Linked DNA regions of Mus musculus. The protein of the gene in region 1 binds, or shares a complex with, the protein of each later gene. Links are inferred from orthologs where the notes say so. Each region holds a gene or a part of one and is shown in the gene's direction. Other genes may lie near its edges.

Region 1 (7,168 bases):
GCTAAATTCTCTTTCTTTCAAACAGATTGTTCCTTGACCAACAGAAGTTGATAGCAAAAGTAATTTCACTTAATATCTGTAAATATTTAGAATGTTTCTTAAGGCATTCTCTGCCTGGCAGTTTTGGATGTGTAAGGTGTGTTTGTGTCTATGTTTCTTGCCTCTATGTGTTGTATGTATAATGTATACACACATAAAATAAGGAATGGTCCACTTCCATCAAAAGAAGACTCAACACATGAAAATGAGAAACATTTGATATCCTTATCATGCTGAAACCAATACTGTGAATACTTACCTTTTTGTTTAATAATTTTTTTAGTCCTTTGAGAATTTTGTACATTGCATTTTGATCATAGTACCTACCTTCCCAGCTTCTCCCAGATCCACCCACCTAACTTTGTGTGTGTGTCTTTTTCTTAATGCATCAAGTTTCATTTGTGCTTCCTATATACTCTTGAGCATGGCATCTACTAGAGCACCTTTGTTTTGCTAAGCAGGGAAGTAAAAATATTTTTTAAATTGATGCATTAACATTCTAAACATTCATCTGTTTTTAAATAGTAAAAATTGAACTTTGCCTTGAATATGTAATGATTCATTATAACAATTATGCATAGTCTTTAATAATCTGCATATTTTATGCTGCTTTCATGTTTTTCCTAATTAATGACTTCACATGTTTAATATTTATAATTTTTCTGTCATAGTTTCCATATTTATATAAAATGAATACTTAAGATCAGTAATTCTGCTCTGTTTGTTTATATACTATTTTCCATCAAAAGACAAAATGGGACTGAGGTTGAGGCTCGTTGCTAGAGCACTTTCCTAAAATGCAAAAGGCCCTATGATGGATCCCTAGTACTTATTTAAGTGAGAGAGAAACAGGCTGGGGGTGTAGGTCTGTTAGAGCATGTGTTTGGCATTATGTGAAGCCCAAACACTAAAAAAGGAGAACAAACAAAAGCGCAGACTTTAAAACTCAAGTGGTTTGGTAATGTACGACTCTACTGTTTAGAATTAAAATGTGTCTTAGTTATTGTGCCATTATTTTTATGTCATCACTGGATAATATATTAGTGCTTAGTATCAGAAATAGTCCTTATGCTTTGTGTTTTGAAGTTCCTAATGCAATGTTCTCTTTCTAGAAAAGGTGGACAAGTCCTATTTTCCAGAGAAGATGACTTTTAACAGTTTTGAAGGAACTAGAACTTTTGTACTTGCAGACACCAATAAGGATGAAGAATTTGTAGAAGAGTTTAATAGATTAAAAACATTTGCTAACTTCCCAAGTAGTAGTCCTGTTTCAGCATCAACATTGGCGCGAGCTGGGTTTCTTTATACCGGTGAAGGAGACACCGTGCAATGTTTCAGTTGTCATGCGGCAATAGATAGATGGCAGTATGGAGACTCAGCTGTTGGAAGACACAGGAGAATATCCCCAAATTGCAGATTTATCAATGGTTTTTATTTTGAAAATGGTGCTGCACAGTCTACAAATCCTGGTATCCAAAATGGCCAGTACAAATCTGAAAACTGTGTGGGAAATAGAAATCCTTTTGCCCCTGACAGGCCACCTGAGACTCATGCTGATTATCTCTTGAGAACTGGACAGGTTGTAGATATTTCAGACACCATATACCCGAGGAACCCTGCCATGTGTAGTGAAGAAGCCAGATTGAAGTCATTTCAGAACTGGCCGGACTATGCTCATTTAACCCCCAGAGAGTTAGCTAGTGCTGGCCTCTACTACACAGGGGCTGATGATCAAGTGCAATGCTTTTGTTGTGGGGGAAAACTGAAAAATTGGGAACCCTGTGATCGTGCCTGGTCAGAACACAGGAGACACTTTCCCAATTGCTTTTTTGTTTTGGGCCGGAACGTTAATGTTCGAAGTGAATCTGGTGTGAGTTCTGATAGGAATTTCCCAAATTCAACAAACTCTCCAAGAAATCCAGCCATGGCAGAATATGAAGCACGGATCGTTACTTTTGGAACATGGACATCCTCAGTTAACAAGGAGCAGCTTGCAAGAGCTGGATTTTATGCTTTAGGTAAACTTCACCAGACAATTACTTTCCAAATGTCACAGAGCTCCTGCTCTTTTAGTCTTTAGTTTGCTCATTCTCTGGATTCATGTTACATCTTTAATGTAACTACTGAATTTATGTTAAAAGGCTATACTTTTATGAGTCAGATCTGTGTTCAAGTAATTCTTGGCTGGGGGAGGTTAGAGTTGAGAGAAAAGATAGTATCAATTTCTGACAGATAGTGGATCTATTAGTAATAAATACCGTCTGCCATTTATTAAATGTCTACTCTGTATGCTCAAAATATTTACTACATGGATTTTCTCTAAGCTTCACCACAATTCCATAGAAATAGTTAACCTTAGAGAATTTGGTTGATTCTTGGTAAATCGACATCAAGCTTAGCATGGTGCCACATACCTGAAATTCCAGCAATCTTAGCAGCCGAGGTAGAATAATGAGCATGAGTTTGAGGGCAGTTTGGGCTACATCGTGATGCCATCTCTCAAAAAGCCAACCAAATAAAAATTAACGTCTGCCTTTAAAGTGTACACCACATCTTTGGAAGCTGCCTGAACTGTTTCAGAGTACTTTTCAAACAATGCCTATGCATGTTCCAAGAAAAGCTGCCAGTGTTATGGCTTCTAGGACTATTTTAATCTGCATGCCTGACTCATTTATTTTAGGAAAATAATGCCAAATTCAAATATAAATTATTTCACTTATATAACATAGTGATCTTTTTTTGGATTTATTTATTTATTTGTTTATTTACTGGATATGAGTATACTGTTGCACTCTTCAGACACACCAGAAGAGAACATTGGATCCAATTACAGGTGGTTGTGAGCCACCATGTGGTTGCTGGGACTTGAACTCAGGACCTCTGGAAAAGCAGTTAGTGCTCTTAACCTCTGAGCCATCTCTCCAGCCCATAACATTAGTAATCATAAAGATCTGTTTCATGTCAGAGAGCTCTGTCCTTAAAGATTTATGCTTGTAAATAATTTATGCCGAAGTGTATTATTGTTAACATTTGGAATATAACTTAAACAGATTTCAGTTTGATGAACTAAAGTTTAATAGTGGTGGTCCAACTGACATACACTAGGAAGAATGTAACAATTATAGTTTCTAACAGAAATACTGTGATTTTATTTTCATTGTAGTCTACTAAGCACATTATATTGAGATGATGAACTTAGTATGTATTTTCCTTCAAATGACAAAGATCATATCTAGATGGAATGTGAATGTTGTCTTTTAAAGCATGAGGTTTTATGTAACTTAGATGTTAAAACGGGCATTTTCTGAAAACTTAGACTTGCACAGAAAGGCACAGTTTTCCTTGCATGTTTTGTTAGGTGAAGGCGATAAAGTGAAGTGCTTTCACTGTGGAGGAGGGCTCACGGATTGGAAGCCAAGTGAAGACCCTTGGGAACAGCATGCGAAGTGGTACCCAGGGTAAGTAAGATCCTTAATTGTTCATTCAGTAACAGAAAAGTTGGACATTGTGCAGTGGAAATATTTGAATTAGTTTTCACCTCAACTATTTTTGCCTTCACTATGGCTTGAAATTCACACCAAGTTTACAGAAATGGGGTCACCTACTTTGTAGGCAAAAAAAAAAAAAAAAAAAAAAAAAACACCTAAGACTTTAGGTAACCAAAACATTCACTGTTTATATGTCATATGATACTTAGATGATTCCATTTCTAAAACCAAATTATTAAAATGTATATTCTTTTATTTAGTATACAAAAATACATACTTTTTATTTAGAAGTAGGCTCTTTGGAGATTGGCATGAGCCCATAGTGCCATGAGAAGTCCCGAAGAATGGTCATAATGTATAGTATTGTTTGTTTGTTTTTTAATTCGAGGCAAGGTCTCATATTAGCTCAGGTAGACCTGAAATTGCCCATGCCTTCCAGGCTGGCCTCCATCTCGAAACCCTCTTGTCTCAGACTCTTTGTCATCTTGCCTCAAAAATACTCAGGTGTATAAGTTATGTGAGCTTCTAATATATAAAATAATGCAACTTCAAACATTAGAACAATCATTTGAAAAGAATCTTTTTAAAACAACATTCAAGATAAATGAGAAAATAAAAACTAAGGTTTTTAAGTTTTCAGTACTGGTTTTAAAAGATTAACCATTTTGAACCTTTAAAAAAAATTGTCAGTATGGCCTGGTGGTGTTGGTGACAAATGGCTTTAATCCCAGCACTCAGGAGGCAGAAGCAGGTGGATCTCTTTTGAGTTTGAGGCCAGCCTAGTCTGTGGAGTTCCAGGACAGCCAAGGCTATACAGAGAAACCCTATATCAGAAAAACCAAATAAATAAATAGTACTAACTCAGTGTTAGGGTACTGATTTAATAGCTTCTTTTGCCTGGTTTTAGTTTTGTTTGTTTGAGATACGGTCTTGTTATGTAGCCTTAACTAGCCTGCAAATTCCTATGTAGATGGGGCTGGCCTTCAAACTCGTGGCAGCCCTCCAGCTTCTGCCTCTCGAGTATTATAGAGGTGTCTTGTCTTTTTTGGGATAGTATCTCTTGTACCTCAGGTTGGCAAGAATTCACTATGTAGCCAAAGATGGCACTAAACTTCTGTTCTTGGTTAATCTTCTAAGTGCGGATAATTCAGGTTTTGCCACCATGCCTGGCTAATAGCTTTTTTGACTGTTTTTTCATTTTCTTTTTTGGCACAGACTATAGCAGAGTAGCCAGGTTTTCATATCAGTTTTCCTGTCTCAGCCTCCCAAGTGCTGAGATTATAGTCAGATGTCACCATACTTGGCTCCTAATTCAGTAACTCTTACTTATAAATTGGAAGTTCTCAAATTGACATTATTAGCATGAGTAATAGTCTTGAAATTATAGCTGGATAAGGAGTTGTATAGCAGTACTTTGTGGCTCCTCAGAAACAGTGAATGAAGCTGAGGCATTTAACATCAGCTGCTTAGGAGTCTGCTGAGATAGGAGAATGGGAATTTCAGGGCCTGTCTAGGCTACACATTCAAGGCCAGCCTTGGACTTCTTAGAAAGACCCTATCACAAATAAAAAGCTGTTTTTAAAAGACTGGGGTGATTTATGGTTATTCCTGCTTATAATCCTAGCATTTGGGATATGTAGGCAGGAGGTTTAGAAGTCCAAGGTCATGTTTGGCTACATAGCAAATTTGAGGCCAGCTTCAGAATGGCCTCTAATGGGAACTGATGTTATAGTTAAGTGATGGAGTGCCTGCTTAGTGTGCTCATGGCTCTTAGTTTAATCCCCAGTAACATACAAAAAAGACAAGAATGAAAAGGTTGGTTTTACTTGTTTGTCCATTGCATGGGTGGGGGATGTACATCGCATAATGCACAGTTGGCGGTCTGTACAGCCTGGAGGGGTTTGTTCTCCTCTGTGAGCTCCTGAGATTGAACTTGTCAGAAAGTGCCTTCTCTCTGGCCCCAAGATAGTTAATGGAATTGAATGCTGGAGACTGCCTTTACTAGTACTTCACTAATTTATCAGCTAGTAGAGTTTAATTTAATTTTCTTTAATCTTTTAGGTGCAAATACCTATTGGATGAGAAGGGGCAAGAATATATAAATAATATTCATTTAACCCATTCACTTGAGGAATCTTTGGTGAGTAGCTTATTGTGCAATATATTTTCAAATTCTATATTATTTGTTTTTCTTTTGTTTTCATTAATTTATTTATTCACTTTACATCCCAATATCCACTCCCCATTTCCCAGTTTCTCCCTTACACAACTTCTTCCCTCATTCTCTCCCCATCCCACCCTGCCATATCAAGTCACTGCAGCATTAGGTACATCCTCTCCTGCTGAGGCCAGACAAGGAGGCTCAGTTGGAGGAACAGGATCCACAGGCAGGCAATAGGTTTAGGAACAGCCCCCCCCACTTCAGTTGTTGGGGGACCCACATAGACCAAGCTGTACATCTACTATATATGTGCAGGGGGCATGTGTAGGTCCAGCCCATGCTTGCTCTTTGGCTGGTGATTCAGTCTCTAGGAGACTCCAATGGTCCAAGTTCATTGACTGTTAGTCTTCCTATGGTGTGTGTGTGTGTGTGTGTGTGTGTGTGTGTGTGTCTTTAGTAACCTTTTAGCAGATAATACTTCAGATTGCAAAAATAAGGACAGAGATATACGTGGGTTTTACCTTTTCTGGCTAGCATAAACAAGCCCCTGGGTTCAATCAAGATGAACAACTGTGTCTGAATTGACACAGAACAGTGGCCGTCAGAGCATTAGTATACTGAGAAGAACTTTGGACTGCAGTGGGAGTCTAGAGTGGACATGACGGTTCTACCCTTAGCTTTTAGCTGCATTTGTATTGGTTTGTTCTCCAGGGGATCGTTGGATCTCTTTGGCCCTCAGCTTCTTGTTTATAAAGGGGTGATGAGTAGATAGATAGTCTTACCTTCCTTCCATTCCGTTAGGTTATGCTCTTATGAATAGTCAGGGTTTTTAAATTAGAATAAAGCCAATTTGTTTTAAGTTTATTAACTTTTCAAATTGAGATAATTGCTTTCTGCTAAAGTGAATTCTTACCATTCATATTTCTATTTTAGGGAAGAACTGCTGAAAAAACACCATCGCTAACTAAAAAAATCGGTAAATATGCCTATTAAAAATAAATCTGTTTAGTTTTGTGGCCAATTTATTATAGTATGTTTAATGAGGCTGCTATAAATTTAAGAATTTAATGAAGTGCTTATAATTTTATTCCAGATAGTTTTGTAGTGAGAACATTAATAGAAAGCCAGGTGCTGTGGTGGAAATCTAATCCTAGCACTCACAATGTTAAAGCAGGAGAATTCTGAACTTGTGGTCAGTCTGGATTGCATGGCATGGTTTTAAGAAAGGAAGGGAGGGAGGAAAATGTATTAAAACAACAAAGAGATTAGAAGTTTAGATTTTTACATTTTTATTTACTTATTTATTTAATCTGTATGGGTGGTCAGCCTTCATATATGTGTGCCATATGCATGCCTGGTTGCCCCAGAAGCCAGGAGAGGGTGTTAGATCCCATGGGGCTGAAGTTAAAAGTAGTTGTGAGCCTCCATGTGAGTGCCAGGAATTGAACTCAGGTCCTCTGGAAGAGCCAATGTTCTTAAC
Region 2 (7,884 bases), on another chromosome or scaffold:
GGTCTTGCCTTAGCACAAGCATCTGTCTCAGCTGACATCACTCTGCCAATCAGCTGGAATCTGAAGAAGTGGCAAGAAACTGCAGCACACCACCAGAAGGGTTTTTAGTGTGTTTCTCTCTATGGAGTCCCAACAAGTGCAGCCCAACTACTTGATGTAAGTGTGAGCTTAGCGAAGAATCCTTCATCACGTGTCCTTTCATGTCCTTGCTTTAGCAGAACATCCTTTCTCCTGTGTCTGCTTCAGCTAAACGTTCCTTCACACGTTTGCCCCAGCAAAACACCATTCAAAGGACTTCCCAAAGAACCCTTAAGTTTCCACTTCCTGAGGCTGGTTAGAGTACTGGAAGCAAGTTTGCTAGCCCTCCAGTAATAAAATAGATGTTTCTATGAAGATGGTCAGCACTAGCTGGGCCGTGGTGGTGCATGCCTTTAATCTCAGGGAGAGGTGGGTGGATCTCTGTGAGTTTGAGGCTAGCCTGGTCTACAGAGAGAATTCCAAGATAGTCAAGGGTGCACAGAGAAACCCTGTCTCAAAAAGCCAAAATAAATAAACATATAAAATGGCCAATCCTGAGACCACACAGCCACCTGGCAGAATCCTGCAATGGAGAGATTATAGAAAGGGAAGATAATCTATCCAGTGTCACTTGCCTCTTGCTGGGCAGCAAGGCTACCATACCTGCTTGGGGTCCTAGACAAAATGAAGAAATCCAAGGTGAGCCGGGCGTGGTGGCCCACGCCTTTAATCCCAGCACTCGGGAGGCAGATTTCTGAGTTCGAGGCCAGCCTGGTCTACAAAGTGAGTTCCAGGACAGCCAGGGCTACACAGAGAAACCCTGTCTCGAAAACAAAACAAAACAAAACAAAACAAAACAAAACAAACAAACAAAAAAGGAAATCCAAGGGGAAGATGAGGATTGGAGTGGAGATGGCAAGTTTTTATTTTTATTTTTTTCTCACTGTTCTTTAGGGTCCCAATATCATCTGCTCAAGGCAACAGGTGCCCGCAGCGTTGGCTGCAGTAGCAGCAAATATCAGGTCAGGGATTGACTGGAATCTGAGGGTGGCCAACGGGTTCAGGAGCACAGAGGCCCTAGGTGTAGACTTCTGACCTGAGGGGCTGCCAAGCCTTCCTGCCAAACCCACCTCAGCTCTCAGGGGCCAGACTTGCTGCAAGTCTTCCTGCTTTGTATGCGATTGGGGTTAGGGAGGTCATGGTGCAGTCATTGGATGTTCCAGAAAATGTATGGAAGCGAAGGCTGCCTTGCCCGTCTGGACACTCGTGATAAGGCCCTGAGCCAGCGCAGGCAGTTTAGATGATTATCAGGACCAACAGTTGCAGCAGAAGTGCTTCTTGAACTGATCAAAAACAACCCCAGGGTGACACATCTGTTTGTCCTGGGGGAAAAGAGGACCCATTTTAGAGATGTGAAGAGAAAGTTGAGGGGAGCTAGTGAGCCCCAAGCTTAGTCCCACTCCCTACTTAGTCACATGGGGTCCATGAGACTGGCATACCTCAGTTTCCTCATTTGCCAACATACTGATTCCCTTCTGCTGGGACCTTAAACCAATTTGATGTCGCAAGCATTTGCTAAACTGTAAGAAAACCCAGGATCAAAACAAACTAGCGAACAGAAAAGCTGAGTGTAGTAGTGCACACTTTTAATCCCAGCACTGGATAGGCAGAGGCAGGTGGATCTCTCAATTAGAAGCCAGCCTGGTCTACAGAGTGAGTTCCAAGACAGCCAGGGCTCCACAGAGAAACACTGTCTCAAAAAACAAAATAAAATCGAAACAAAAAGAAAGAAAACAAAAACCGTCCAATCCTGTGATCCCTTTCAGTCTTCTATTCCTCTGTAGAACCTCTACTCTTCAGGTGTCTGTGTCTCCTCCCAACCTGTCTTCTGCTCACACACCCCATGAGGGATATGTCTTCCACCTGAAGAGCCTCAGCTCAGAGCCTCTAAATAGAATCCAGTTATGTGCCAATCAAATCTTTCCAAAAGGCCTCCCGCTGTTGCTCGTGTCCTTGCACCGTCTCCCTTGGACCCTGTCCACTCCCCCCATCCCGCCCCTTCAGCTGCTCCATCTGTGATGTCTTTGCATGCTCAGCTTGTGTTCTGAGCTCTAGCCCCCCTACTGACTTGACAACGTCTCATCTCAGAACCACACCAAACTCAGCATGCTAACGTGGAACTCACACCTTTCTCTTGCTCCATAAACCTACCTGAGCCTGCAAAAAAAAATCTGCAGGGATCTTTGACACACTTCTTCCCATCAGCACTGTCTTTTTATTGTTGTTGTTTTCTCGAGACAGGGTTTCTCTGTGTTGCCCTGGCTGTCCTGGAATTCACTCTGTAGACCAGGCTAGCCCCGAACTCAGAAATTCGCCTGCCTCTGACTCCTAAGTGCTGGGATTAAAGGCATGTGCCACCACACTGGCCCATCAGCACTGTCTTAGGCCATTTCCTGTTGCTTTAATAAAATGCTTGATACTGGGGGGCTGGAGAGATGGCTCATCGGCTAAGAGCACTGACTGCTCTTCCAGAAGTCCCGAGTTCAAATCCCAACAGCCACATGGTGCCTCACAACCGTTTCTAATGGGACCTATGGGATCTGGTGTGTGAAGACAGTTATAGTGTACTCATACATAAATACACAAATCTTTTAAAAAAATTGATACTGGATTATTTATTCATTTAATGAAACAGGGTGTCATATAGTAGTCCATGCTGGTATCAAACTTCTGGTCCTCCTGTCTCTTCTTGTTGTTGTTTTTGTTTTTTTTTTTCAAGACAGGGTTTCTCTGTATAGCCCTGGCTGTCCTGGAACTCACTCTGTAGACCAGAAATCCGCCTGCCTCTGCCTCCCAAGTGCTGGGATTAAAGGCGTGTGTCACCACGCTCGGCTCCTCCTGTCTCTTCTTAAGGGATGGGATTACAGGACTCAAATTTATAATCCCCCTGCCTCAGTCTCCTAAACTCTGGGATTACAGTTGTGACTCTCCAAATCGAGCTTCCGCACCGTGCTTCTAGAACAAACAGACTCTTCCTTTGGGCACTGGCCAGTCACGCCAAGTGGCCTGCAATTACATTGCCAGCTAACACTACACTCCCATGTTACCGTCCATAAATTTAACTTCTGAGAATTTACAACTACTCGGAATTGCAGTCTTCTCCAAATCTAACTTCAGCTAGTTTGGCATTGGGGTGGCCTCCATTATAAGATCAGGCAGTCAGTCACCCACTACTCTTGTAAACTGAATCATTCGTTCTCTCTTGCTCCCTCCTCGCTAAGCCGCTTTAAATAGGATCTCAGGATCTCCATCGGGGTGAAAAAAAAATCCGGGAGAAAGCACACCCATAAAGACCCCAGGAAACAAGAAAGTCGAAGAAAGTAGGCTGATGGGGTTGGGGGTGGGGTGGGGGCAAGAGCCGCGCTTGCTCAAGGCGCCTCTGCTGCGCCTCCTCCGCTCCGCCGGGGGCGCTGTGGATAAGCTCCGCGGCAGCCCGAGCCGCTCTAGCCCCTCATCCCGCCACTCCGAGAGCCTGGCGCGCCGCGGGGTCCTCCAAGATGGCGGCGCAGAGGAGGAGCCTGCTCCAGAGTGTGAGGAAACCGACCCGCTCTCCGGGCTGGGAGGGTTGGGAGCTCGGGTGTGTCCTCGGGTGCAGGAACTGTTGTCTTTAGATGGCAGAGCATGGCCCTCTCGCCCCAGAGGCCTTTGGGGGCTTGCAGCGCGCGAGACCCACAGCCGGCTGGCGCCGCGCCTGTTCTGCGCGTGCGCGTCGCAGGCTGGGGCCTCTAGGGGGTCAAGGGCGCCGGGGTCCTGCGGAGTGGGAGCGTCCTCGAGCCGGAAGGGGACGTGGCGCCGCCGAGCGGGCCATCCGGAGCGTGGACACGACTAATAATAAATAGCCCCCCGCTTGTGTAAGGCGTGCTGTATCTCTGGCATTGTGTGGACCGCCTCGCGTTTATAAGCTTCGCCAGCAGCACCGGAGAATAGTTAGCGACTAAAAGTTTTTACAGACGAGGAAACCGAGGTCAGGCAGCTGGTGAGCGGCAGAGGCAGAGGCAGGATTAAAATAGTCTGGTTCCAGAAACACCCCTAAGGTTTAGGCTCCTCAAGTGAGGGCGTAGGGTTTTACTTCTGCCTCCCAGTTCACCGGGTCCCGTTGAAGGTTGGCTCCAGGCACCCCGACCTGGTCATCTGGACCTCCACGGTTTGATGTAGTCTACCCGTCCCTGCATCTTTCTCACATATGTGCAGTTACACATGTATGTATGTTAGCTCAGAGTACTGTTTGGATCTGCCAGGACAGGGCGGGGATCCCTTGGCCTTCCTTACCGTGGCACTCTGTAGGAGTTGCCTCTGGATGTCTGCTTCCTTGAAGACCAGCGCCTCTTAGCATGTTGACTTCACCACCCTACCACCCTTGCATGCTAGGTGCTTGGTCAGTGTCTGTCACAGAATGAGGAAATTGGTCAGGAACTAGGTCTTGGCTTTTCAAGGGTGGGGGGAAGTAGCTTGCCTGGCCTAGAGGATCTGAAGCCAGAGGGAGACGTGGGGGAAGAGAGAGATGGCTTTCCCTTCACTATTGTGTGCCTGCTCGGGCCTTTTGTAAAACCCTGGGAGTAAAGAGGTCTGGCTCTCTGTTTTGTAAGGTCCCAGAGGGCAAGGCCCTTGTATAAATGTCCCCATTGTAGAAAGCGTCTGGGGAACACTGATATGATTGTGACCTTGAGAGAAAGAGGGGCTGGGAAAAAAATAGTGACTGATGCCGACTGAGTTGGCTTGCTAACAAGAGAAAGGTCGACTGGGTCAAGTATCTTCTGTCTCTTCCTTGTGATGGGACCCAAAGAACACCAGTTAGGGCAGAGTGTAGGCTTTTCCCAGCACACAGAGAATGTGTTCTCTGTGTATGCTGGCGGACTTTAAAAAGGGGGAGGGAGGGCCGGCTTTAACCCGTAGTGTCTTGATGCTAGGGAAGGAACAGGAAAAGATAACTGTGTAAGGCCCCTTCCATCCTCAGGATGAAAGGACATACCTACTGAGAGGAATCCCGGTGTCCCAGCCGGGCAGGGTGCAGGGCTTGCTGACCTGTCCTTCGTCCTGTGTCTGGTGAGAGCAGCTCCAATATCTGTGTTCTGCAAATGACCTTGAAAGCTGCTAGTCTGGGCCTCTTGGGAAGATGAAAGGGCAGCAGGGGAAGAGGAGCGTGAGCCCCAGCACCGTGGCTAAGGCATAGTCAGCGTGGACTTCCATAGGGAACCCTGGACAGGCCGCAGAGAACTGCAGGGGATTCAGGGGTGTTAAGTCTCAAACCCAGAAAAATAGCTGAGGTCTCAACACATCAAAGTGAGCCTGGTTGTCAGGCTCTCCCAGCATCCCTCGGGCTGCTCTTCCTATAGAACTGAACAATTTTGGTGACCCACCTCTTTTGTACCTTTGTCTTTTTGGCTGCTGTACCCCATTCCCTTGCTTTCCCCTTCCCTTCCCTCCCTCTCCCCCATGGCTTAGGGTTCGACTCTGGACTCTCTTAGATGTCTCTGCCTCTGCTCTCCCATTTTCCTACAGTAAGAACTTTTCTCCTCTACCATACCCACACGTAGGAGCAGTCATGGCCTTTCCTTTTTAGGTTTTTTTTTTTTTTTTTTTAAATTCAGTTTTTTACAAGACAGGAGGGACACCCAAGGGGAATACAATGTATTTAACTAAATTTGTATGTGAGGGGTCTGAAAATCCATGTGTCAGATAGAAATAGTGTGTTGACAGGTAGTGAACAGTTGTGGGATAGGCTGGTAATGGGCTCATGTGGGTCTTGAAGGGGCATCATCCTTGGGCAGTTTGGTAGAGTTTCTGGAAGAAAAGGCCTTCTGAGGGATTTTTACCTATTATCTCTAGTCAGTGTGCTTTAAAAGGGTTTGGTTTTGGGGATTTTGGATTTGAGGGCTTCCTGGGTAGTTGGTTTGTTTTTAATTTTAATTTTTTAAAATTCCATTTTGCCTGCATGTAAGTGTTCTGGGTACATGCCTGGTGCCTGTGGAGGGCAGAAGGAGGTTCCAGTCGTAAGGTTCTGACAACTGAACTTGGGTCTCCTGGAACAAAAGTCAATGTTCCAGGCTACTAAGTCATCTCTCTAGTGCTGAGTTTGTTTGATTGTCTTGAGACAAAGTCTCACTATGTATCAGTGGCTGACCTCCAGCTCACTATATGGCCTTGAACTTGGAGATCTGTTTCCGAATGCTGGGGCAGCATACACCACTACATTCAGCTAAGAAAAGTGGTTTTAAAGAAAATCTTAGAATGGTGGTTCTCAGCCTTCTTAATGTAACTCTTTAAAACAGTTCTTCATGTTGTGACTCCCAACCACAAAATTATCTCATTGCTACTTTATAACTAATTTTGCTACTTGTTATGAATCATAATGTAGCTATCTAACATGTAGGATATCTGATATAGAACTCCTGTGACCTCCAAAAAGGTCTTCACCCGCAGGTTTAGAAGACCCCAGCCATAGCAGCCTGAAAAAAGCCTGTGAGTCTCACAGAGATTTACCCATAGTTTCCCCGGTCCAGAAGGCCTCCCAGGAGAACCGATACTATAAATGGACTGCCACAGTGTTTCCAATTCTAGATGGTAACAGTCAGCTGTGGGGGCTCTGCGAATACCAGGAGATCCTTACCACAGAGTAAGGATCTGAGTGTCCACATGAGGCGAGGAGGAGATCTGGTTCAACAGGAATCGGTAGCTGGTGTGGGGTCAAACTTCTAGAAGCCGATTCAGAGCAGTTTACTTTAGCCATGTGTAAGCACAGTAGAGCTTTGGAAAGAAGCTCTCCGTGACAGTTATCACAGTAATGCTTAAGGCGGGGCTGCCTCGAAACTCTTGCAAAATCCTTAAGGATGAGTTCTAGTGACTGAGAAATAGTGCTCAGGATGAAGGTCTAGGGAGGAGTCTGGGATGAACACAGTAGTATGGGGAATGCAGCTGTGGTCTGGCCCTACAGTCTGCACAGGTCACCAGGCCGTGAACAGTATCCATCCCCAGCTCTCTGGCAACAGCAGGTATGCAGCCTTCTGTTGAAGAGACAACCCTGTGTGTTCAATATTCCTGGTTTCCCTCATGCTTATCAGTGTGCACAGGGACCTGTTGCCCTCTACACCTCAACAGCAGACTTCTGTCTTCAGTGCTGCTGTGAGTGAGCCAGTGCCTTGCAGTGACCCTTGAGTGTTCCTCCTGTGGTAGGCACTGTGCTGGAGCAGGGGTGGTGGTGGGGGATGACGACGACACGCCCTGACAGATGCTAAACAGCAAGTACAGACTCTGTGTAATTTAATAATAGTTAATGAATCAGGCAGATCTTTGAGAGTTCAAGGCCAGCCTGTTCTACAGAGTAAAAACCAGAACAGATAGAACTACACAGAGAAACTTTGTCTCAAACAAAAGCAAAATCCATTTGGTTTGTTACTATGACTGTAATCCCTGCTCCTCAGGAGGCTGAATTAGACTTGAGTCCAGGCATCTGTGGCCAACCTTGGCAACACAGTAAGATGATATCCCCCAAAATATAAAAAAAACCCAAGTTTTAAGCAAGCAAAGGATGTTGTCACCCTGAAGTCGTGTTTAGACTGAAGTTTGTCCTGAGGAATGATATTTATGCGATCACATGCTGCGGCCTATGCTTTTTCCCCTGTGCACCTTAAACAAGCGCAGGGCTGCGCTCAGGTGGTCGTGTGCCTAATGTGCATGAAGACCTGTGTTTGATTCCCAGCACCTCATAAAACAGAGCGTAAGGACAGTCTTGTAATCCTGGGACTTGGGAAGCTGGGCAAGAGGGTGAGGGGCTTGAATTTGACTATATGAGGCCTTGTCTCTAAGCAA
Region 3 (7,771 bases), on another chromosome or scaffold:
GATTCATCCTATGGTGGTACTACCAAGAGACGGTGGAAGGTAGGAAGTGGGGCTCAGTCTGAGGCAGTACTGTTTTCTGGCTGCCACGATGTAAACTGCTGCTCCATCCTGTCCTCCCAAGCGAGATGGACTGACAACTTTAAAGCCCAAATAAATACTTCATGCATTAAGCTATTCTGCCAGGCACTCACTCTGTCACAATGAGAAGTCTGACTAATACAGGTGTAAAGGAATCCTGAGGCTTCCTTTAGCAGGGTTCCTGGTTTCTCACTTCCATTTGTTTATTTATTTACTTATTTATTTATTCATTCATTCATTCATTCATTCATTCATTTATGAGATAAGAGGTTTTTATGGTTGCCCAGGCTAGGTTTCTCACTTCCATTTATTTATTTATTCATTCATTCATTCATTCATTTATGAGATAAGAGGTTTTTATGGTTGCCCAGGCTAGCCTCAAGCTGCTTCAGCCTCTCAAGTGCTGGGATTTTAGGCATGTGCCACTACACATACCATAGTTTCTTATATAATTAGCAATTAACCGCTACTCCAACCTCTCCCTCAACCCTGAGATTAAATTCATCAGTATTGTGTTTACTGGAAATATCATAGTTCCATTTTTTGTGATGTTCTTTTATTTTAAAATCCTCAACAATATTTTGTGTGTATATACACATGTTTATGTGCCTGCGTTCACATGCATATGTTACACGTGCACTTTTGTGCATGAGTGTGCATGTGGGCCAAAAAAATGGTGGGTATCTTCCTCAATCCCTCTGTTTTTGTTTGTTGTTGTTGTTGTTTGTTTGAGACAGGGTTTCTCTGTGTAGCCCTGGCTGTCCTGGAACTCACTCTGTAGACCAGGCTGGCCTCGAATTCAGAAATCTGCCTGCCTCTGCCTCCCGAGTGCTGGGACTAAAGCCATGTGTCACCACACCCGGCTCCACCTTATTTCTTAACACGGGATCTTTCACTAACCCTGGAGCTCATCCATCGGGCTAGGCCAGCTGCCAGCAAGCTCCAGGGATCCCATGGTCTCTACCTTCCCATAACACCAGGTGTTTTACATGGGTGCTGGGGATGCAAGCTCAGGTTTTCATGGTTATCCAGACAGTACTTTACCAACTGAGCCATCTCCCAAGCTCTTAATATTATTATTATTATATTATCCCAACATCTTCTTAATATGCTATCATTTATGAACGCTTGTTATACTTTATTTATCTGCGTGTATTTGTGTAAATGTGGATTGTGTTCTTGAAAGTCAGAAGAGGGTGCTGGGTCCTCTAGAGCTAGAGTTACAAGTGGCATGAGCCACCTGAGTTGGAAGAGCAAGAGCTCTTTCTTAACTACCCAACCAATCCTTCACCACCTTTTAAATGCACTCTATAATCCCTCTATACAATATCTACGACTTAAGTATTCATCTTTAAGTAGTCATCTTAAAGTACGCTATTAAGGTTTACTTACAAACATATTACTATATAAGCTTACTTTCTAGAATGTGTAACAACTTAAGAAATTAAATATAAAAGACTGAATTTCTTCTGTCCCACTTATTTACTGCCTAGAATCAGAAGGTGTATTTTTTTTTAAGATTTATTTATTTATTTTATGTATGCAAGCATACTGTCCCTCTCTTCAGAGACACCAGAAGAGGACACTGGGTCCCTTTACAGATGGTTGTGAGCCACCATGTGGTTGCTGGGAATTGAACTCAGGACCTCTGGAAGAACAGTCAGTGTTCTTAACTGCTGAGCCATCTCTCCAGCCCCAGAAGTCATTTTTTAAATATCCCTAAAACTAGTAGGAGGGATAAGAAACCCTATAACAGTATACTGTTTCAGGTGTTGGTTCTTTTCCTCCTCCCTGGTCTCCCACCCCAAAGAGCAAAACTCTACCAGATAAATGACCTTCACACCATTTTTACAAATGATTAACTTATCATGTAATTGCTATAGTAATTTAGCTTATGAAGGCTAAGTCTTCTTGCAGATGTAGGCCCTAAAACGTTTACCTATTATACTTCTAGTTCAGTTTTCTCGCCAAATGGAAGAGAGTGACCACGCCCCGCTTTTAGATCACTTCAGAAAGCCATCTTACTCCAGCTCCTGGAAAGCAGTCACATTGCTTTTCATGAATTCTTTCTCTCTTGAGGCCCAGAACGGCTTCAGGTCCCTCTGGGTCCCCATTTACAGGGCGGCTTCAGGTCCCTCTGAGTCCCCACAGTGAGGAGAAATTACAGGGCTTAGATGAAAACTATCACCTCCAGATGTTTTGCTCTAACGAACTTCTCTAGATGAAGTCAACATTAACGGCAGGAAACTGCTGAGGATACCTTATCTAAGGTATCACTTTGTTAAGAACGTTTAGCACAGGGAGGGGTCCGGGCACAAGGGGTTTCTCAATTAGACCCTTCCTTGTGAACTACAGCCTCCACGATGCACTGCGAGGGTTGAATGCATCCTACTGCTAAAGTCCAACAGAAAATGGCTGATTCTAACTTACTTTGGGAGGGATAATGATAGATCAATTTGTTTCTGGAATCTACATTTAACCACTATGGCTCTTCATGAGAGCAAACCACTTATCTTTTTCTTTCTTTTTTTTTCCCCCCCAAGACAGGGTTTCTCTGTGTAGCCCTGGCTGTCCTGGAACTCACTCTGTAGACCAGGCTGGCCTCGAACTCAGAAATCTACCTGCCTCTGCCTCCCAAGTGCTGGGATTAAAGGCGTGCACCACCACTGCCCGTCCACTTATCCTTTTAAAGCCTTTGATGGAACTGGAAAAAATAAAAAATGTATTATGGAAATGCAAGAGCTTGAATTCCACACGCAACGAACGGTAGACATCTGTGTGGCTACGTGTACGTCAGTCCCTTACATCCAACGAAGCAAAGGCGGTGAAGGCAAGAGGCTGCTCTCTGGAGTACATTTGTCCTTAAGAATATTCTGGGCCCCTGAAATTCGATGCTGATCGCTGTGCTCGTGTTTTCGTATATTATGCAAAAACAAAACAAAACAAAACCCACTTCCCAGAGTCAGAGTCTGAATGAAATAGGACGTAAACCAGTCAGAGATTTCAGTAAGGTAGTCAGGACCTCTCACTGAGGGAGCAAGAGGTGGACGGAAGTGAAGAAAGGCCTCGGTGCAATTGAGAGGAAGTAGAATTACCGAGTGCGGGGCACAGCTCTATTTTCTCCTGCCAGAGTTCTGACTGGCAGAGGCGCCTCCCTAGACGCCCATCTTGGCGCCCCCGGAATCAGGCGTGGCCGAAAGACCTCTCTAAAATTTACCTCAAGTGGCGCAAGTCGGCCGGAGGCGGCAGCTGGCGGAGCCAGAGATGGCGGGAACCAGAGCTTGAAACCCGCGCGAGGGGGCGGAGCCGGAGGGGGCGGGGCCCTAGGCTTGCCCTGGGTGGGCGGGGCCTGCGCTACGAGACGGGGCTCAGTCGGGGCTGAAACCACCAATCGCGACTGGCGTGTGCGAGATGAGGTGTTGGGGGGTGTGTGAGGGGGGATGGGGCGGGGAGGTAGAGAAGGGGCGTGGCGTGGGGCGTGACCGGCGGTAGTCTGCTGTTGCTGCTGCTGCTGCTGCAGTTGCAGTGTTGGTGCTGGTGGGATCAAAGCGCAGTGTCCTGCGGCGGGGAGCTTGGAACGGTACGGTGAGTGTCTGCTGCTCTCGCGCCTTCGAAGGCCTGTGTTGTCCCCCGGAGCTGGCGCTCTTTTGGCGGGTCTGCAGCTCCTTGGAGGAGGCGGGGGAAACGGGCAATCTGGGCGGAGGATCCTTTGTGTTGCCTCCAGGCTTGCTCAGGCAAACACTGAAGGCAGAGAAGCTGGAAACAGCGCCGGGAGCGCGATCCCGAGCTGAGAACCCAGACCCGGGAGGCCAAACCGGTGTCCCTAAACCTGGGTGAGCCGGTGCGGTGTCCCTAAACCTGGGTGAGCCGGAGCGGGTTCAGACCCCTCGAGCATGGCACACGGGCCGCGCTGAGGCTTAAAGGCGGAGTCAGGGGGGTATCTGGAGATCGCCCGGGGTACAGAGCTTCAGGGGCGGGAGGGGGTGAGGCCATAGTGTGGGGGTGAACCTGGAAGCCGAGTGGCGGGAGGTGGCGGGATCCTGGATCTGCAGGCCGAGGTGTGGACTCGGTAGCAGAGGATGGATAGGGGAAGTTCTGCCCTGGGGCCTGGAAGCTAGGCTGATGCTGACCTTGTGGCGGCTCTAAGTGACCCAGCCTCCCTCTGTTACAAGAGCATTTGATCTCCACCTTTAGTTTTCTCCAGTGCACTGTGATTTTTGGTTCTTGCGGAGAGCTGATTTTAAGCATTACTCCTTGAATACTCCAGCTCATTCCTTTGTTGGTCAAAGTCACTGTAGGAGCTTGCATTGACATCTCTTGAGCCATGCTCGGTTACTGTCCCTTCTTCGCGCTTATTAATTAGTCTGTGAAGTTCGACTTGAACAGCAGGGTCTTTACCTCATTCTCCGTTGAGTCACCCAGGAAACGTCCTTCTCAGGCACCTCTTGTGGACCCAACTTCTTCCGCCGTTAGTCCCCGAGCCTTGTAGACCTACGAGTCTGACAGATTTGTACCTGGCCCCTCTTCGGAGTCTTGTGGACTTTCTACGTGTCTGCCAGACTTGTGCCCACCTCAGGGAACTGAAGCAGCCTCCTTGCAGGTCTCTGTCTCCCGCCCAAGACCCCTCTCCAGTGCTCTCTTTAAGACACGAACAAAAACAGTTTTCTAGATGTTCATGTTTACCCTGAAGGCTTAAGTGTAAAACCGTATCCTCTAAACCGGGTTAGCGAAGCCAAACCCTGGGTCTTGGCTGTCTCCCCCCGCCCCCCCCCCTTTTTAGCAGAATGAAGAAGCTCTCCAGGCAATATTGGATACTGTGTCCTTTTCGGGTTTTCTTTCCAGCCCTCTGAGTCCACTGGCTCACCTTTTCTCCCCCTGAGACATTAGCTTATGAACAGGAGCTGCTACGGAGGTTTCCCTTAGTTAGCAATTCCTAGCTGAATCTTCCCATTCCTCCCTTTGCGGCAGGCATTTCCTGAAAGCAGCCGTGTCATATCCTCTACTTTTGCTTGTTTATTGTTTGCCTACCGAACTGTGAGCAAACAACAGTAGGCTCGAACTTTAGCTTGGCTCCCTTCCTTACTGGCTTTTTTTTTTCCACAAGTGACTACTCAACCCATTGGGGTGGGTGGGAAATGTGGGGCCATCGTTACAGTAAGAGTATACACAATAGCAGAGGAGATGCTAAGCTGGGGGTTTGGCCAGCCTTTGGGAAGTTACTTTGGATATGTTAATGGTGGCCACAGGCAGGAGCCCTAAGTATGGAGTGTAGAACCCTGTGACAACCTGGTGTTGAAGCTTTAAAGAATGGCTTTGTTTTGCTGTCCAGTAGACTAAGGCTTTTGGAAAGTGAGAAGGTGTTTTTTTAGTGAGTGGAAGTTTATTGAAATGTAGCCATCGAACTGCTACAAAGTAACAAGTGAAATCCTGCACCTAATTAAATCAGGTTGCTTTTGTGGTCCTGCAGAAAGGTTCTGCCTCCTGCTGTTTTAAGTAGGAATTCTGTATCTTTATCTGATAGAAGCGGGTCCAGGGCCACTCTATGGTTTCAAACCTAGCAACACATTCACTTCATGCGCTTTCTAAAGTTACAACACAGTCTTTTCTTCAAACACATTGCATTAGTTCTGATCTTCGTGTTAGATAATATTAAAGTTCTACCCCAGTGATAGAGGTAGAATACGATGTGGAAATTCTTACATTCTTGAGTACTGTTTTATATATAGTCATTTAACAGATTAAAAAAAGTTTGGAGAGGAAAGGGTATTCCATCATCATCATCTGACTGTCTGAGGCCAGGAGCCCGGGGCCTACCAGCTTCTTCATAAATAAAGCATAATCTATATTGCTCAGAGGGTTGTGTAAAGATCAGATGAAATAGTATGTGTGACATTCTACATAATAGTCCTTGTTCTGGTCTCTTTGTTTTGGCCTTCAATATTACCTGGGGAGGGTCTTCATTCTGCTAAAGTACAATGAAATTATCTAGTAAGAACAGAACATGGACTGCTTAATGTCTACCTTGCTGCTGTTTTTAAATGCCAGTGAACATACATAACAGCTCTGGATAGGGGTAGAGTCTGCCTCTTCCACTACTTCATACGCTCAGGGTTTAATGAAACATCTTCATACAGTTGATAATCAGTAGATTACATAGTTATCTGTAATTTTTATAAAAGACATCAAGGATCTTCCACTCTATACTTTTATTTCAACAACAACAAATTGTTTTCAAACAGGTCAGTAATTCTTACACATCCCTAAGAGCGTATAGTTTTATCCTCTTCAGGGTTTCGCTTGGGAGAGGACAAGACAGACCCTTTGCAGATAGTAAGCATCACATTTTTTTCTAGCTTGTGGCACAATGTCAGGGCTTCATCAGGTGTCTGCCTCCCTGGTTGTGTGTCCCATTCCAGAAACAAGAAAACGAGATGACTTATTTGTTCCTATGAGACAATATGTTCTCCATATTTTCTTTTCCTTTCCACCTTTCTTTTCACTCTCACTATATTTTCAACATTAGAAGGTTGGCTTTATCAGGCTGAATGACAATAGCCAGGTCAATGAACCCCCAAAGGAACTGAGACCAGATGGGACAGATTTTAGAACAAAGAAAGCCAACCACTGATTATACTAAGAAATCTTTTCTTAACCAGATGATTGTGAAACAAGTGCTCTTTCTGTTTCATTTACTTAATATGAAAGTGCTCGCAGCCAGGCGGTGGTGGCACACGCCTTTAATCCCAGCACTTGGGAGGCAGAGGCAGGCGGATTTCTGAGTTTGAGGCCAGCCTGGTCTACAAAGTGAGTTCCAGGACAGCCAGGGCTACACAGAGAAACCCTGTCTCGGAACACCCCCCCCCCCAAAAAAAAAAAAGAAAGTGCTCCTGATTCTTTGTCCTCGCTGAGAGGTAGTAAATAGAATCCTGGTGTTTCTCAAATCATTCTGCCAGGCTACAGTGGCTTCATGTTCCTATCAATAAGAAGGTAGGTAGACACGTAGGAAATATTTTAACAAATGCTTAACCAGGTATTATACATTTATAAATAAACTACCTGGTGGGATGAGAAACATCATAATCATTATTACTGTTTTCTTCATTGCAATAACTGCAGTAAGTATTAACCTGTATTTGTGGTCTTTACCAACTGTAAATAGAATTGTGAGAGACTAGAAATTGAATCTGTATTGAAATGTATAGACTTTTCATCATCCCCCGAACAACACTACGTAAAAACAGGTATCATTAGTAATAAGTAGTAGGGATGCTTAGCTTATATGTAAATAATACACCATTTTATACAAAGGATTTGAACTTGAATTTGCTATCTGAGGAAGGTTCTAGAGACAGTCACCCACAAAATACTGAAGAACATCTGTGTATTTTATTTCAGTTTTGAATAATCAGCTTCTACCATACTGTATGTTTTAAATCTCATCTTAATCAGAGAACCTGGGCTTACAGATTTTTGTTCCATTGAAATTAACTTTAGTGTTGTCGCAACTATATGATATATGATGCTGAGCAGTCTATAGACTGTAGAATGGAGCGTGAGTCATGGCTCTGTTACTTAAAAAGTGATAAACTCTCTTCTGAGCTCCATTTAATTAAGATTTAAAGAGGAACCATTATATCCCGGTGTTATTGCGAAGCCCAACTGAAAGTACCTGTGTGCCGCTCAGTCTAGCACA

What was found. The genes of interacting proteins can lie anywhere in the genome.
Region 2: the proteins of Xiap (region 1) and Tab1 are in contact, whole or in part, in a crystal structure (PDB 2POP), measured with the Homo sapiens proteins. The link is inferred for Mus musculus from reciprocal best matches to the Homo sapiens genes XIAP and TAB1. Residues at the interface, in NP_001158.2 of Homo sapiens: Phe33, Ala34, Ser38, Gly39, Pro41, Ser43, Ala44, Ser45, Thr46, Arg49, Tyr75, Ser78, Ala79, Val80, Gly81, Arg84, Phe92, Ile93, Gly95, Tyr97, Leu98; in NP_006107.1 of Homo sapiens: Glu99, Ala100, Arg103, Thr201, Gln202, Leu203, Glu212, Asp213, Phe216, Arg217, Gln220, Arg241, Glu269, Glu271, Ile272, His273, Ala275, Gln276, Pro277.
Region 3: the proteins of Xiap (region 1) and Casp3 are in contact, whole or in part, in a crystal structure (PDB 1I3O), measured with the Homo sapiens proteins. The link is inferred for Mus musculus from reciprocal best matches to the Homo sapiens genes XIAP and CASP3. Residues at the interface, in NP_001158.2 of Homo sapiens: Ala137, Leu140, Leu141, Gly144, Gln145, Val146, Val147, Asp148, Ile149, Ser150, Asp151, Thr152, Ile153, Tyr154, Asn226, Leu231, Gly232, Arg233, Asn234; in NP_001341706.1 of Homo sapiens: Tyr204, Trp206, Arg207, Asn208, Ser209, Lys210, Asp211, Trp214, Gln217, Lys242, Thr245, Glu246, Phe247, Glu248, Ser249, Phe250, Phe252, Thr255, Phe256.

Annotation. Positions count from the first base shown.
Region 1 is NC_000086.7:42,093,216-42,100,383, forward strand, and holds part of Xiap (E3 ubiquitin-protein ligase XIAP), read left to right. Parts: intron 1-1,151; 5' UTR 1,152-1,156; coding exon of another isoform or gene 1,157-1,183; coding exon 1,184-2,057; intron 2,058-3,397; coding exon 3,398-3,497; intron 3,498-5,588; coding exon 5,589-5,667; intron 5,668-6,621; coding exon 6,622-6,664; intron 6,665-7,168.
Region 2 is NC_000081.6:80,129,581-80,137,464, forward strand, and holds the start of Tab1 (TGF-beta-activated kinase 1 and MAP3K7-binding protein 1), read left to right. Parts: upstream 1-3,565; 5' UTR 3,566-3,575; coding exon 3,576-3,608; intron 3,609-5,047; exon of another isoform or gene 5,048-7,884. UniProt on the Homo sapiens protein: Key adapter protein that plays an essential role in JNK and NF-kappa-B activation and proinflammatory cytokines production in response to stimulation with TLRs and cytokines.
Region 3 is NC_000074.6:46,613,839-46,621,609, forward strand, and holds the start of Casp3 (caspase-3), read left to right. Parts: upstream 1-3,452; 5' UTR 3,453-3,663; intron 3,664-3,785; exon of another isoform or gene 3,786-3,940; intron 3,941-7,771. UniProt on the Homo sapiens protein: Thiol protease that acts as a major effector caspase involved in the execution phase of apoptosis. Following cleavage and activation by initiator caspases (CASP8, CASP9 and/or CASP10), mediates execution of apoptosis by catalyzing cleavage of many proteins.